2 linked regions of the Drosophila melanogaster genome follow. The protein of the gene in region 1 purifies or fractionates together with the protein of each later gene. This does not show direct contact. Each region holds a gene or a part of one and is shown in the gene's direction. Other genes may lie near its edges. The genes, in order: Cyfip and HSPC300.

The links.
Region 2: the proteins of Cyfip (region 1) and HSPC300 purify together in Drosophila melanogaster (affinity purification with western blotting; 4 studies listed by BioGRID). This does not show direct contact.

Annotation. Positions count from the first base shown.
Region 1 is NT_033777.3:15,331,175-15,338,865, forward strand, and holds Cyfip (cytoplasmic FMR1 interacting protein), read left to right. Parts: upstream 1-2,091; 5' UTR 2,092-2,214; coding exon 2,215-2,421; intron 2,422-2,491; coding exon 2,492-4,323; intron 4,324-4,378; coding exon 4,379-4,671; intron 4,672-4,731; coding exon 4,732-4,844; intron 4,845-4,898; coding exon 4,899-5,098; intron 5,099-5,159; coding exon 5,160-5,695; intron 5,696-5,756; coding exon 5,757-5,851; intron 5,852-5,904; coding exon 5,905-6,291; intron 6,292-6,349; coding exon 6,350-6,562; 3' UTR 6,563-7,191; downstream 7,192-7,691. Other genes in the region: mRpL9 (mitochondrial ribosomal protein L9), read left to right, coding at 1-383; Fkbp39 (FK506-binding protein 39kD), read right to left, coding at 530-1,374, 1,442-1,654, 1,839-1,854; Nagk (N-acetylglucosamine kinase), read right to left, coding at 7,410-7,691. UniProt on the Drosophila melanogaster protein: Plays a role in guidance and morphology of central and peripheral axons and in synaptic morphology. Also required for formation of cell membrane protrusions and for bristle development.
Region 2 is NT_033778.4:24,026,989-24,030,618, reverse strand, and holds HSPC300 (haematopoietic stem/progenitor cell protein 300), read left to right. Parts: upstream 1-1,829; 5' UTR 1,830-1,884; coding exon 1,885-2,005; intron 2,006-2,494; coding exon 2,495-2,604; 3' UTR 2,605-2,902; downstream 2,903-3,630. Other genes in the region: CG3163 (uncharacterized protein), read right to left, coding at 135-1,241; EbpIII (ejaculatory bulb protein III), read right to left, coding at 3,224-3,604.

The DNA of each region.
Region 1 (7,691 bases):
CGACTGTTAAACACAGCTCCCCCTACGCCCAGCGCACGGTCAACATGCTGGAGACCATTGTGCTGGCGGTGGTCATGAACAAGGATGAGCCATGGGTGCTCGAGCCCTGGCACATCAAGGCCTCGCTGCGCAAGACTGGGTTCTATTGTCGCGAGGAGTGCATTACCCTGCCCAAGGAGCGCATCGAGGGACCCGACCTGAAGAAGGAGAACAAGGACTTCTACTGCACTGTGACCATAAACAAGCTGGAACAGGCGCGACTCAAGTGTCGTCTGCACCACTGGAGCACAGATCCCAGCGAACGGCTGCCTTACGTACTCGAGCACTGGAAACTCCAGTCTGAGCCCCTGCTGGATGTATGTTCACCCGAAAAAACCCCTTAGAGACCCCATACCAAATACATGCGATTGTTACAAAACTGTTGATTTATGAACAGCCGGAAAACAGAGTTTATTTAACATTTTTATCAAGTTGTACGACGTGGATACTTACTTAGGATTACAAGTCTATATGATGTTAATATAGTGCACTAATGCACAGCTTTCAGTTCCACTTCGAAGACGAGAGTGGAGTTCGGTCCGATCTTCGGTGGAGCTCCCCGTGCGCCGTACGCCATGTGCGGGGGGCAGGTAATGACTCGCTTGCCGCCCACCTTCATGCCGGCGACTCCCACGTCCCAGCCCTTGATGACCTCTCCGCCGCCCAGGGCGAACTTAAATGGTTTTCCCTTCAGGAGGCTGTCGAAGGTCTTGTTGTTCGACTGCAGGCGGCCGATGTAGTAAACAGATACGCGTTTGCCCTGCTTGGCTTCTTCGCCTTTGCCGACGACCTGATCCACAATCTTCACGCCTCCGGTGATAGTACGTGGATCCTTAGAAGCTGGTTGCTGCTTGGCTGGCTCCTTGGCCTTGGGTTGTTCCTTCTTGGCCTCTGGCTTCTCCTTCTTCTTTTGCTGCTGCTTGGCCTCCTCCTTCTTGGCCACACCGTTCTGCTCCTTGCCAGATTTCTTGGCGCTAGCGCCAGGAGAGAGCTTGGCAACCTTGGCCTTTGGCTGTTCCTCTTCAGCTTCGGAGTCGTCGCTGTCCTGTTCATCCTCCTCGCCACTCTCCTCGTTATCCTCATCAACATCGTCGTCATCTTCCTCCTCACCATTTTCGAGGAAGGACTCGTATTCCTCGATTATCTGGCTATCGTCATCAGTATCCTCCTCGTCCTCCTCGCCGCTCTCATTCTCATCCTCATCATCTTCAGACTTTTTGCTATTCTTGATCGCCTTGGAGTTCAGCAAATTCTCGATCGTCATTTGATCGTCATCCTCATCATCTTCGGAATCAATGTCGTGCAAGTAGCCCAACAGAGAAACGCTGGCGTCGCCTGTGAAACGAACGAAAGCGTCAGAAACGGATAAACATGCGAACATAGTGGACATAAAAGGTCTTACCGGCGGTGTAGAACATGATGCGATCGCCCTTGCTGAAGTTCAGGTCGAGCGCAACCTGTGGAATGGCCTTGGTCACGGTGGCCACGATGTACTCCTGCTTCTCGGCAGCGAGGTACAACTTGGCCTCCTGGCCCTTGTCGAGTGCCACGCCCGAGATGTGGAACGACTTGATGATCGTCTGCGAGTACTTGCGCTCAGGCTTCATGTTCAAACCTGGAAGAGGACACAGTTGGTCAAAAACATGGTTTACTTTACATCGGCGTGCAAATGGCGCCGCTCCACGCTGCCGGTAAATCGAGCGGCAAGCACGTGGTGGCAATAAAAGCGCGGTCGGAGCACCCAAGAGCTCGTTGGCACAACCAGCCCGGAGGGGGCAAGTGAGATCAGTTCGACTTACCCCAAAACATCGACATCTTGCAGAATTGTAGGCTACTCTTAACGGAAAATGCAATATAAAATAGGAGAAATTGAGTTCGCTAAAACGAAACGGAACCACAGACGCTAGTGATGTGATGTGCCGCCAATGCGCCGTATTTATCGATTATCTTTCTCTTATCGAAATTAGCGGTGCGCAGCCATATAAGCATAAGCACATCGTAGACGCCAACCGCCAGCAAAAATGTGCTAATTATGGCCACGTGTCCACGCACCCAGGCGAATGGTAAAAGTCGTGTTGTATTTGTGGCGAAAAAAATTTGTGTCGATTGGATTGGGGCCCCGCCTTGTTAGAATTTAACCATTTCGCGCTGCTGGAGCATGATAAGCAGCCCAGCATGACGGAGAAGATTACGCTAGCCGACGCGCTGTCCAACGTGGAGGTGTTGGACGAGCTATCCCTGCCGGACGAGCAGCCCTGCATCGAGGCGCAGCCCTGCTCGATTATCTACAAGGCAAACTTCGATACGAATTTCGAGGATCGCAATGGATTTGTCACGGGTATCGCCAAGTACATCGAGGAGGCCACCACCCATGCCAACTTGGTGAGTTAGCGTATCCGGCTTATCGCATTAGCATTACTCACAGCTCTGAACCCCTTCTCTCCGCCCGCAGAATGTGCTCCTGGACGAGGGGCAGAAACACGCAGTAATGCTCTACACCTGGCGCTGCTGCTCGCGCGCCATTCCGCAGCCCAAGTCCAATGAGCAGCCGAATCGCGTGGAGATCTACGAGAAGACGGTCGAGGTGCTAGCCCCGGAGGTGAACAAGCTGCTCAACTTCATGTACTTCCAACGCAAGGCCATCGAGGCCTTCTCCGGCGAGGTGAAGCGCTTGTGCCACGCCGAGAAGCGCAAGGACTTCGTGTCCGAGGCGTACCTATTGACGCTAGGCAAGTTTATCAACATGTTTGCCGTGCTGGACGAGCTGAAGAACATGAAGTCCAGCGTGAAGAACGATTACTCCACCTACAGGCGAGCTGCGCAGTTCCTCAAAGTGATGTCGGACTCGCACACCTTGCAGGAGTCGCAGAATCTGTCCATGTTCCTGGCCACGCAGAACAAGATTCGCGACACGGTCAAGGACACGCTGGAGAAGATCGTGGGCTACGAGGATCTGCTCTCAGATGTGGTCAACATTTGCGTGCATATGTTCGAGACAAAGATGTACTTGACCCCTGAGGAGAAGCACATGCTGGTAAAAGTTATGGGCTTTGGCCTGTTCCTTATGGACAGCGATGCGTGCAATATCAACAAACTTGATCAAAAGAAGAAGATACGGCTGGATCGCATCGATCGCATCTTTAAGAACCTGGAAGTGGTGCCCCTCTTCGGCGACATGCAGATTGCTCCCTTCAACTACATAAAGCGCAGCAAGCACTTCGATTCCAGCAAGTGGCCGCTGTCCAGCTCAAACGCCATCAGCCCACAGGCGGATCTAATGGTGCATTTGCCGCAGATACGCGAGGATCACGTCAAGTACATTTCGGAGCTGGCGCGATACACAAACGAGGTGACCACCACCGTCAAGGAGAATCCCTCTGATGCCGAGAACCGGATTACGGCCGACCTGGCTCTGCGCGGCCTTCAATTGCTGTCCGAGTGGACCAGTGTGGTCACCGAGTTGTACTCCTGGAAGCTCCTGCATCCGACTGATCATCACCAGAACAAGGAGTGCCCCGTGGAGGCTGAGGAGTACGAGCGGGCCACCCGCTACAATTACACCTCGGAAGAGAAGTTCGCGCTGATCGAGGTCATCGCCATGATAAAGGGACTGCAGGTGCTAATGGCGCGCATTGAAACCGTATTGTGCGAGGCTATCCGGCGTAACATCTATTCCGAGCTGCAGGACTTCGTGCAGCTTTCGCTTCGTGAACCGCTGCGAAAGGCCGTAAAAAATAAGAAGGATCTTATCCGGAGCATCATCATGTCGGTGCGAGAGACATCGGCGGACTGGCAAAAGGGCTATGAGCCCACCGACGATCCAGTGGCCAAGGGCAAGAAGGATCCCGACGGCGGCTTCCGCATCCAGGTGCCTCGCCTCAATGTGGGACCTTCCTCCACTCAGCTATACATGGTGCGCACCATGCTGGAGTCTCTGATTGCCGACAAAAGCGGCGGCAAGCGCACTTTGCGCAAGGACATCGACGGAAACTGTTTGCTGCAGATCGACACGTTCCACAAGACATCGTTCTACTGGAGCTACTTGCTCAACTTCAGCGACACGCTTCAGAAGTGCTGCGATCTCTCGCAGCTGTGGTATCGCGAGTTCTACTTGGAGATGACCATGGGTCGTAAGGTTAACAAGTGCTTGGTGCGGCATCAGCACAACGAGGAGTGCAAGGATCTGATCACCATGGAGAAGCGCATTCAGTTTCCGATTGAAATGTCCATGCCCTGGATCCTAACCGATCACATTCTGCAAACGAAGGAGCCCTCAATGATGGAGTAAGTAAATGGCGAATAGGTGAAATGATCTGAACTAACTAAGTGCCTCACACAGATTTGTCTTGTATCCCCTGGACTTGTACAACGACTCGGCGTACTACGCACTCACTGTCTTCCGAAAGCAGTTCCTGTACGACGAAGTGGAGGCCGAAGTCAATCTGTGCTTCGATCAGTTTGTCTACAAGCTGAGCGAGCAGATCTTTGCCCATTACAAGCAATTGGCGGGCAGCATCTTCTTGGACAAGCGATTCCGTTTGGAGTGCGAGGTACTCGGTTTCAACTTCCAGTCGTATCCCCGCAATAATCGTTATGAGACCTTGTTAAAACAACGACATGTCCAACTTTTGGGTAAGCAAAACACCCATTGCATCATGATCTTTTGGTTAATGGTTTCTCCATTCGTTTAAGGCCGTTCTATTGACTTGAACAAACTGATCACACAACGCATAAACGCCAACATGCACAAGAGCATTGAGTTGGCCATCAGTCGTTTCGAGGGCAACGATATAACCGGCATTGTGGTAAGTGGAATCCTACAGATGTCTAGAATCGGTCTCTAATTCGCTTAATTTCAGGAACTCGAAGGCCTGCTAGAGGCGAATCGAATTTGCCACAAGTTGCTAAGCAAGTACTTGGCCCTGGATAACTTTGACGGCATGGTAAAGGAGGCTAACCACAATGTACTGGCGCCTTACGGCAGAATAACACTGCACGTCTTTGTGGAATTGAACTACGACTTTCTGGTCAATTACTGCTATAATGCAGCCACGAATCGGTGGGTGTGCCGCCAATTTTCTATTGTTTAAAATACTTATTATTACTATTATCTCTTGCAGTTTCATTCGAACCAAAGTGAATCTTTCGTCGTCACAGGCTATTCAGCGTGAGAAGCCGCCACAAATGTCCCATTACTATCTGTGGGGTTCCAAGCAGCTGAATGCTGCCTATTCCACACAGTATGGCCAGTACACTGGCTTTGTAGGTTCACCGCATTTCCATGCCATGTGCCGCCTGCTGGGCTATCAGGGCATAGCAGTCGTCATGGACATTATACTGAAGGACATTGTTAAGCCACTGATCCAGGGCTCGCTGCTGCAGTTCACCAAGACGCTGATGATTGCCATGCCCAAGTCATGCAAACTACCCCGTTGCGAATATGGTTCGCCTGGAGTGCTCAGCTACTATCAGGCTCATCTTACAGACATCGTGCAATATCCGGACGCGAAGACAGAGCTATTTCAGTCTTTCCGGGAGTTTGGCAACAGCATTATCTTTTGCCTGCTGATCGAACAGGCGCTCTCGCAGGAGGAGGTGTGCGATCTACTGCACGCCGCCCTCTTCCAGAACATCTTTCCCAGACCTTTTTGCAAAGGTATGTACAAGTGGATGCTTTCATGGGTAGTTTTTCTTACTTACATCTCTACCCATTTCAGAGAATGAAAAACCGGAGGCTAAGCAAAAGCGTCTTGAAGCACAGTTTGCCAATCTGCAGATAGTTTCAAACGTGGAAAAGATTGGCACTGCAAAGGTGAGCCCCCAAACTTAATTGATTAACTTTATAATAATAATCTTTACCAACAGCAAGCAATGATAGCACGAGAGGGAGATTTGCTGACTCGTGAGCGTCTTTGCTGTGGCCTCAGCATTTTTGAAGTTATTCTCAACCGCGTGAAGAGCTATTTGGACGACCCTGTGTGGTGTGGTCCTCCACCGGCCAACGGGATTATCCACGTGGATGAGTGCTCGGAGTTCCATCGCCTTTGGTCGGCTCTGCAGTTCGTTTATTGCATTCCAGTCAGGGGAACGGAGTACACCATCGAGGAGCTCTTCGGCGAAGGTCTGAACTGGGCTGGCTGCGTCATGATCGTACTGCTGGGACAGCAGCGTCGCTTCGAGGCTCTGGACTTTTGCTACCACATTCTGCGGGTACAGCGCGTCGATGGCAAGGATGAGGACGTAAAGGGCATTGTAAGTTCTAACATAACTACCAAAGTGCCCAAAGTACAATTTGAATATTCCTTAACAGCAATTGAAGCGAATGGTGGATCGGATTCGTCGGTTCCAAGTATTAAACTCACAAATCTTCTCCATTCTCAACAAGTATCTAAAGGGCGGCGATGGCGAGGGCTCAAATGTGGAGCACGTGCGGTGTTTTCCACCGCCTCAGCATCCCTCGGTCATATCGTCCTCGTCGCACTACCAGGATCCCCAGAAGCTGCGGCAGAGCATAAACAATTGAAGTCGCCCGGAAAGGGATGCATTTAAGCTAATCGCATACAAATAGGTTACACTTAATCGCAGATGAATTAGTCCCCAGGAAAACAGCGACGTAGAAGCCGAAAAGCCAAGTTTTCTTGGCTATGCTGCCGAAACTTTGACAGTTTTTTTAGTCAAAGTGGCGGTCTTGGTTCTATTTGAATTCGATTTTATTGAAAATCTCTTTTGGTATGTCGCATTCAATCTTACAGTACGTTAAATGTTTTATCCAAGCAATTATATATATATACATGTAGATGTAATTTTGATTCACTTGCTACGGCATTCGATTCAGCTACTCGTACATTATCCCAAATACTCTATTCTAAGCTCCCTAAGATATTATGTTTTTGGCCTATGTATTCCTTCGCTACAAACAGATACATTTATGTTCTGCTTCCCGATTCGAGAATCAAATTAGCCAAAGAATTGAATTGACAGCACTGCGAAAATAAAAACAAATTGGCTTTAAACACAATCAAAGTATTACAAAGAAGATGCCGCACATGTATGCCCACATACATGAAAAGAAGCCACGACAGCCAACAATTGAGACACATACAATTAATACAATGAACATTATCGAATAAAATTTTCATACGTATTTCTAACAAACCCAACAAAAAAAGTTTAGAAAGTATATGTAGGTGAGTTTGATGCAAGATTGAAAGGGAAACTTCTTTACTTTCCAGCGGATTTCGTCAAAGGATAAAATTATTTATTTTTTGATAAGCTATAATACTACCTATCCGTACCACTAACTGGAATATTGATTGCGAATTTGGCAATTGGGAAGTGTATTGCGGAATGGGTTGTCAAACACAATTTATCTAACAGTTACAGCCGTTGGTGGCTTTGGCTTTCTTTCGAGGATCGGTGTACGTGTACAGTACTGTGACGTTGTCGGCATAGTTTCTCGGAAGATCGAAGTCCGCACTATCCGCACCCAGGTAGCAGGCTCCGTAGGCACTGCTCTTGGTGATGCGCACCAGCTTGAGGTCGAAGTCGATGGTTGTCTTAGCGAGTTCACTGATGAAGGCCTCCTGCAGCAGATCCCAGCTGGACCACACGGATCCTACGCACACTACGCTTAGGTCCCCGGACTTGACCAG
Region 2 (3,630 bases), on another chromosome or scaffold:
GGGGATTTTCTAAGGATTAGGCGGCTGAAAGGAATCCCTCCTTTAAATAAAACATGGCTTTGTACACATGACTGTCTCTTTACATCTTATTATTACATAAACTCTAAAAGTACGTCTTTAAAGGGGCCAGGCCATCATTTACTGTGGCTCTCTAGGTAAACTGTTGCATTGTCCACGCCCATAAACTGGTGTATACTCAGCGAGGACAGCATTTTCATCTGGCCCTGGTACAGCACATCGGCGATGATCTTTTCCGCGTAGATAGCCTGTGTTCCGTCCATGGAGCGAAGCTTGTGTGCGATAATTTTCCCGAAGTTGGAGAAGTGGTCGTCCAGCTGGCTGTCCGCACTCTTTAGGGCCAGCGAAAAGAGGCGCTCAAAGTCAATGGTGGAAATGTCCGCTCGGAATTTACCTGGAGGCGGCTCGTTGTCCTCCGAAATCTGCGAAGAGACCGAGGAGGACCTTTTCCGTGTTATGTGATTGGCTTTCTGGCTCGGGCTCTGATTACTGATCAGTTTCGTTTGGTTCTGGGTGACGATGCGCTTGCACTGCGGCGATTCGGAGTCGCCAGGCGGAGACTTTATGGAGTCGGGCACGGATTTTCTGCGGGCGGACAGCAGCCTGTTGTTAGCAGGCACCACGATTTCGACCTCCTTGATAGTAGCGCCACTGGCATGGCTGTTGGCGTTGTTGACTGTTTTAATACTGATAACGGGGTCAGCGGCAGCGGCGGCGGCGGCCTCCTCGAAGATGTTGGCACAGAATTCGTTGGCGCTGTTGTTGGGTGACATCTTGATCGAGTCTGCCGTCGGCTTTGGGGGCTTGTGCAGGCTCTCGGCGTCGGAATACTCGTCGCCGTTCTCTGGCGCCCCTAGCTGCATGGAGTTGTCCAGGCAGACCGACTGCTCGCGCTTGAACTTCTTGTCGGCGGGGATCTCCTCGTCCTTAAGGAACATCAGGGACTCGAAGTAGCGGCGCTTGGGGCAGTAGGGCTCGTACTTCTCGCCCTTTTTCTTGACCTCGTTGTATTTCCTCAGCTGATGACGAAATGCACAGCGCAGATTGTTTATCTTTTGCTTTGTTCGCTCCACATTGTACATCTCCCCGTGCTTGGTGGCCACCTCGATGAGCTTCGCGTAGGCCTCCTGCCGGCGGCTGCGGTTCCTGAAGTCCGCCGAGTCCGCCTTCCACAAGCACGGATTGCTTTTGTATTCTTCGATGAAGTCGTCGATAAAGTCCATTTTTTGTTTACCAAATGAAAAACACTGTAGTTTACGGGGCCACCTAGTTTATCTATGTGTGCGTGTGCGTGAGTGGCATCAATAGCTATCGTTTCGCTCGGCTCATTCCGATTGGAACACGCGGAATCGGACCGCAAAATGGGTACATACTTTGCTGGTTTGCAGTAATTCCTTAATAAATATCATTTAAAACAATAAAACATCGAAAACTAACCCACGGTTAATATAAAATATAGCAAACGCAAATTCGAATATATCTATGTATATTGCGATATACAATTGTATATTGCGGCGATAAGTTTCTTTATATATTCGGCTGTGTCTACCCCAATACTTTTATTATTTACCTTTATTTTATTATTCATATTTACACGCTATAGTTGGCAGACAAAAATATTAAGTTATTTCTTTCATCGCACTTTCCCGCGTAATTTTTAAATAGTAGTGCTTAGGGAGTGTTGTAAAACACCATTAAAATTTCTTGTTGGAGTAAAAATTTGATCTCAATGAATCACGGTGAACACGGTAATTGTATGCCTATCGATAGTTCCAAATTTTTGACAATAATTGTTCCGGCCCAACCCATCTCTCATCTCTAGATAAACACAATTAAAACGAACAGAAACAATAGGAATAAATAAAGATGAGTGGGGCTCACAGAGAGGCGATCCAAAAGCAGATCCACCAGGACTGGGCGAACAGGGAGTATATCGAAGTGATAACTGCCAGCATAAAGAGAATCACCGACTTTCTGAACTCTTTCGGTAAGCAACCTGCATACGAAGCACCCACTTCCCTCTGACGCATGTGTGTGTGCGCGTGTTTATTATCACTTCCTTTGTAGGTGTGGGTGAACGCATAAGTAATATTACTAACAAATATTCATCAGTGACAATGACTTTATTTACTCAAGTCTTAAGTCTATAGAAACAAACAGTGGTTTGTGCGTGGTGGCATATATGTATAGCAATATATGTATCTACATACATATGGAAATGTATGTATGTAACATCATCGGAGGGCTCAAAACGAAAATTCGGCTTTATCTCTATCCGAATTAGTCACCTAAATGAATTGGATAAGCTTTTTCGGTTGCTCTATGCATAATTTAAGATACGCTAAATACTGTGATAAATGATAAGCCAAAGAGTGCGAGGTAGTTGGGTTGCTAAAATATCCCATATCCTTAATAGGGTTTATGTACACTGTTGGCATTATAAACTGTATCATCGTGTGCTATCATATCCTTTCAGATATGTCCTGTCGCTCCCGTCTGGCGGTGCTGAACGAAAAACTAACGATCCTGGAGCGGCGCATAGACTATCTGGAGGCGTGCGTCGCCCAGGGTGAAACATTAACGTAAACGCTGCCCACAACCTTATACTAAGCTTTGTACATTTATAAGTAATTAAAATACTGATTTAATATTTAATATCTTTTGATTCGCAATGTGAATTGCCGTGACATTAATAATTCGCTGTACATTGTTTGTTTGTTCTTTGAAGGAAGGTTTTCACGGCTGAGTTACTTGCGGCCATCGGATTCGATTCATTGCCCCTTTTAAGAATAATATAAGTAATAGCTCAGAACCAAGACAAGCACGCGATGTTTTTGCCAACTAACCGTAGCTGCCTTTATTGTCAATGTTAATGCAAATCGCCCGCCATATATAAGCCGCTTATTAGGGTCTAGTCGTAATCTTGTGAATGTTTTTTCTAAGACCTTAATTGTGCTTAGATTAATCATCGTTCTAGTAGCAGGAGGCTAGACTTAAGTGCTACATTTGTCATAGTTAATTTATATACTCTCTGAAGCCTGGCAAATCCCCCTTCGATAACGATATAATACTCGGCAGGTGTATGGTAAAAAAACAAATCTCTTTATTCCGAGCACGATCGTAGAAATAATTTTGATGATCAGATATAAGCGTAGACCTAATTAACAGTGCATATAACCAAGAGTTTCCGGAACCGGGATCCGCCTTACACCTTGATTCCCGAGGCCTCGGCGGTGGCGCGGTAGCGCTTGATGTAGATCTCATCGGGATCGTACTTGGCCTGCAGCTGCTTCCACTCCTCGGGCTTGTTTTCGATGATGTAGCGAATGACCTTGTCGGTGTTCTGGCGCTGCTTCTCGCTGCACTTGCTGCACTCCGTCTTCAGGGCGTCCGGCAGGGACTTCTTGAGCTCCCGGCCCTCCGGGGTGCACTTTCCGTTGTCCACCAGGCACTTGAAGTAGTTTCCGAAGAGGCGGTCCGACTTCAGGATCTCGTCGACGTCGATGTTGTCGTACTTGGTGGTGTACTTATCCTCGGCGGCGACCAGCACCAGTCCAAGGACGACAAGCGCAAGTATCATCTTCATCTTGGAGTTTTCTGCGGGCGAATTGG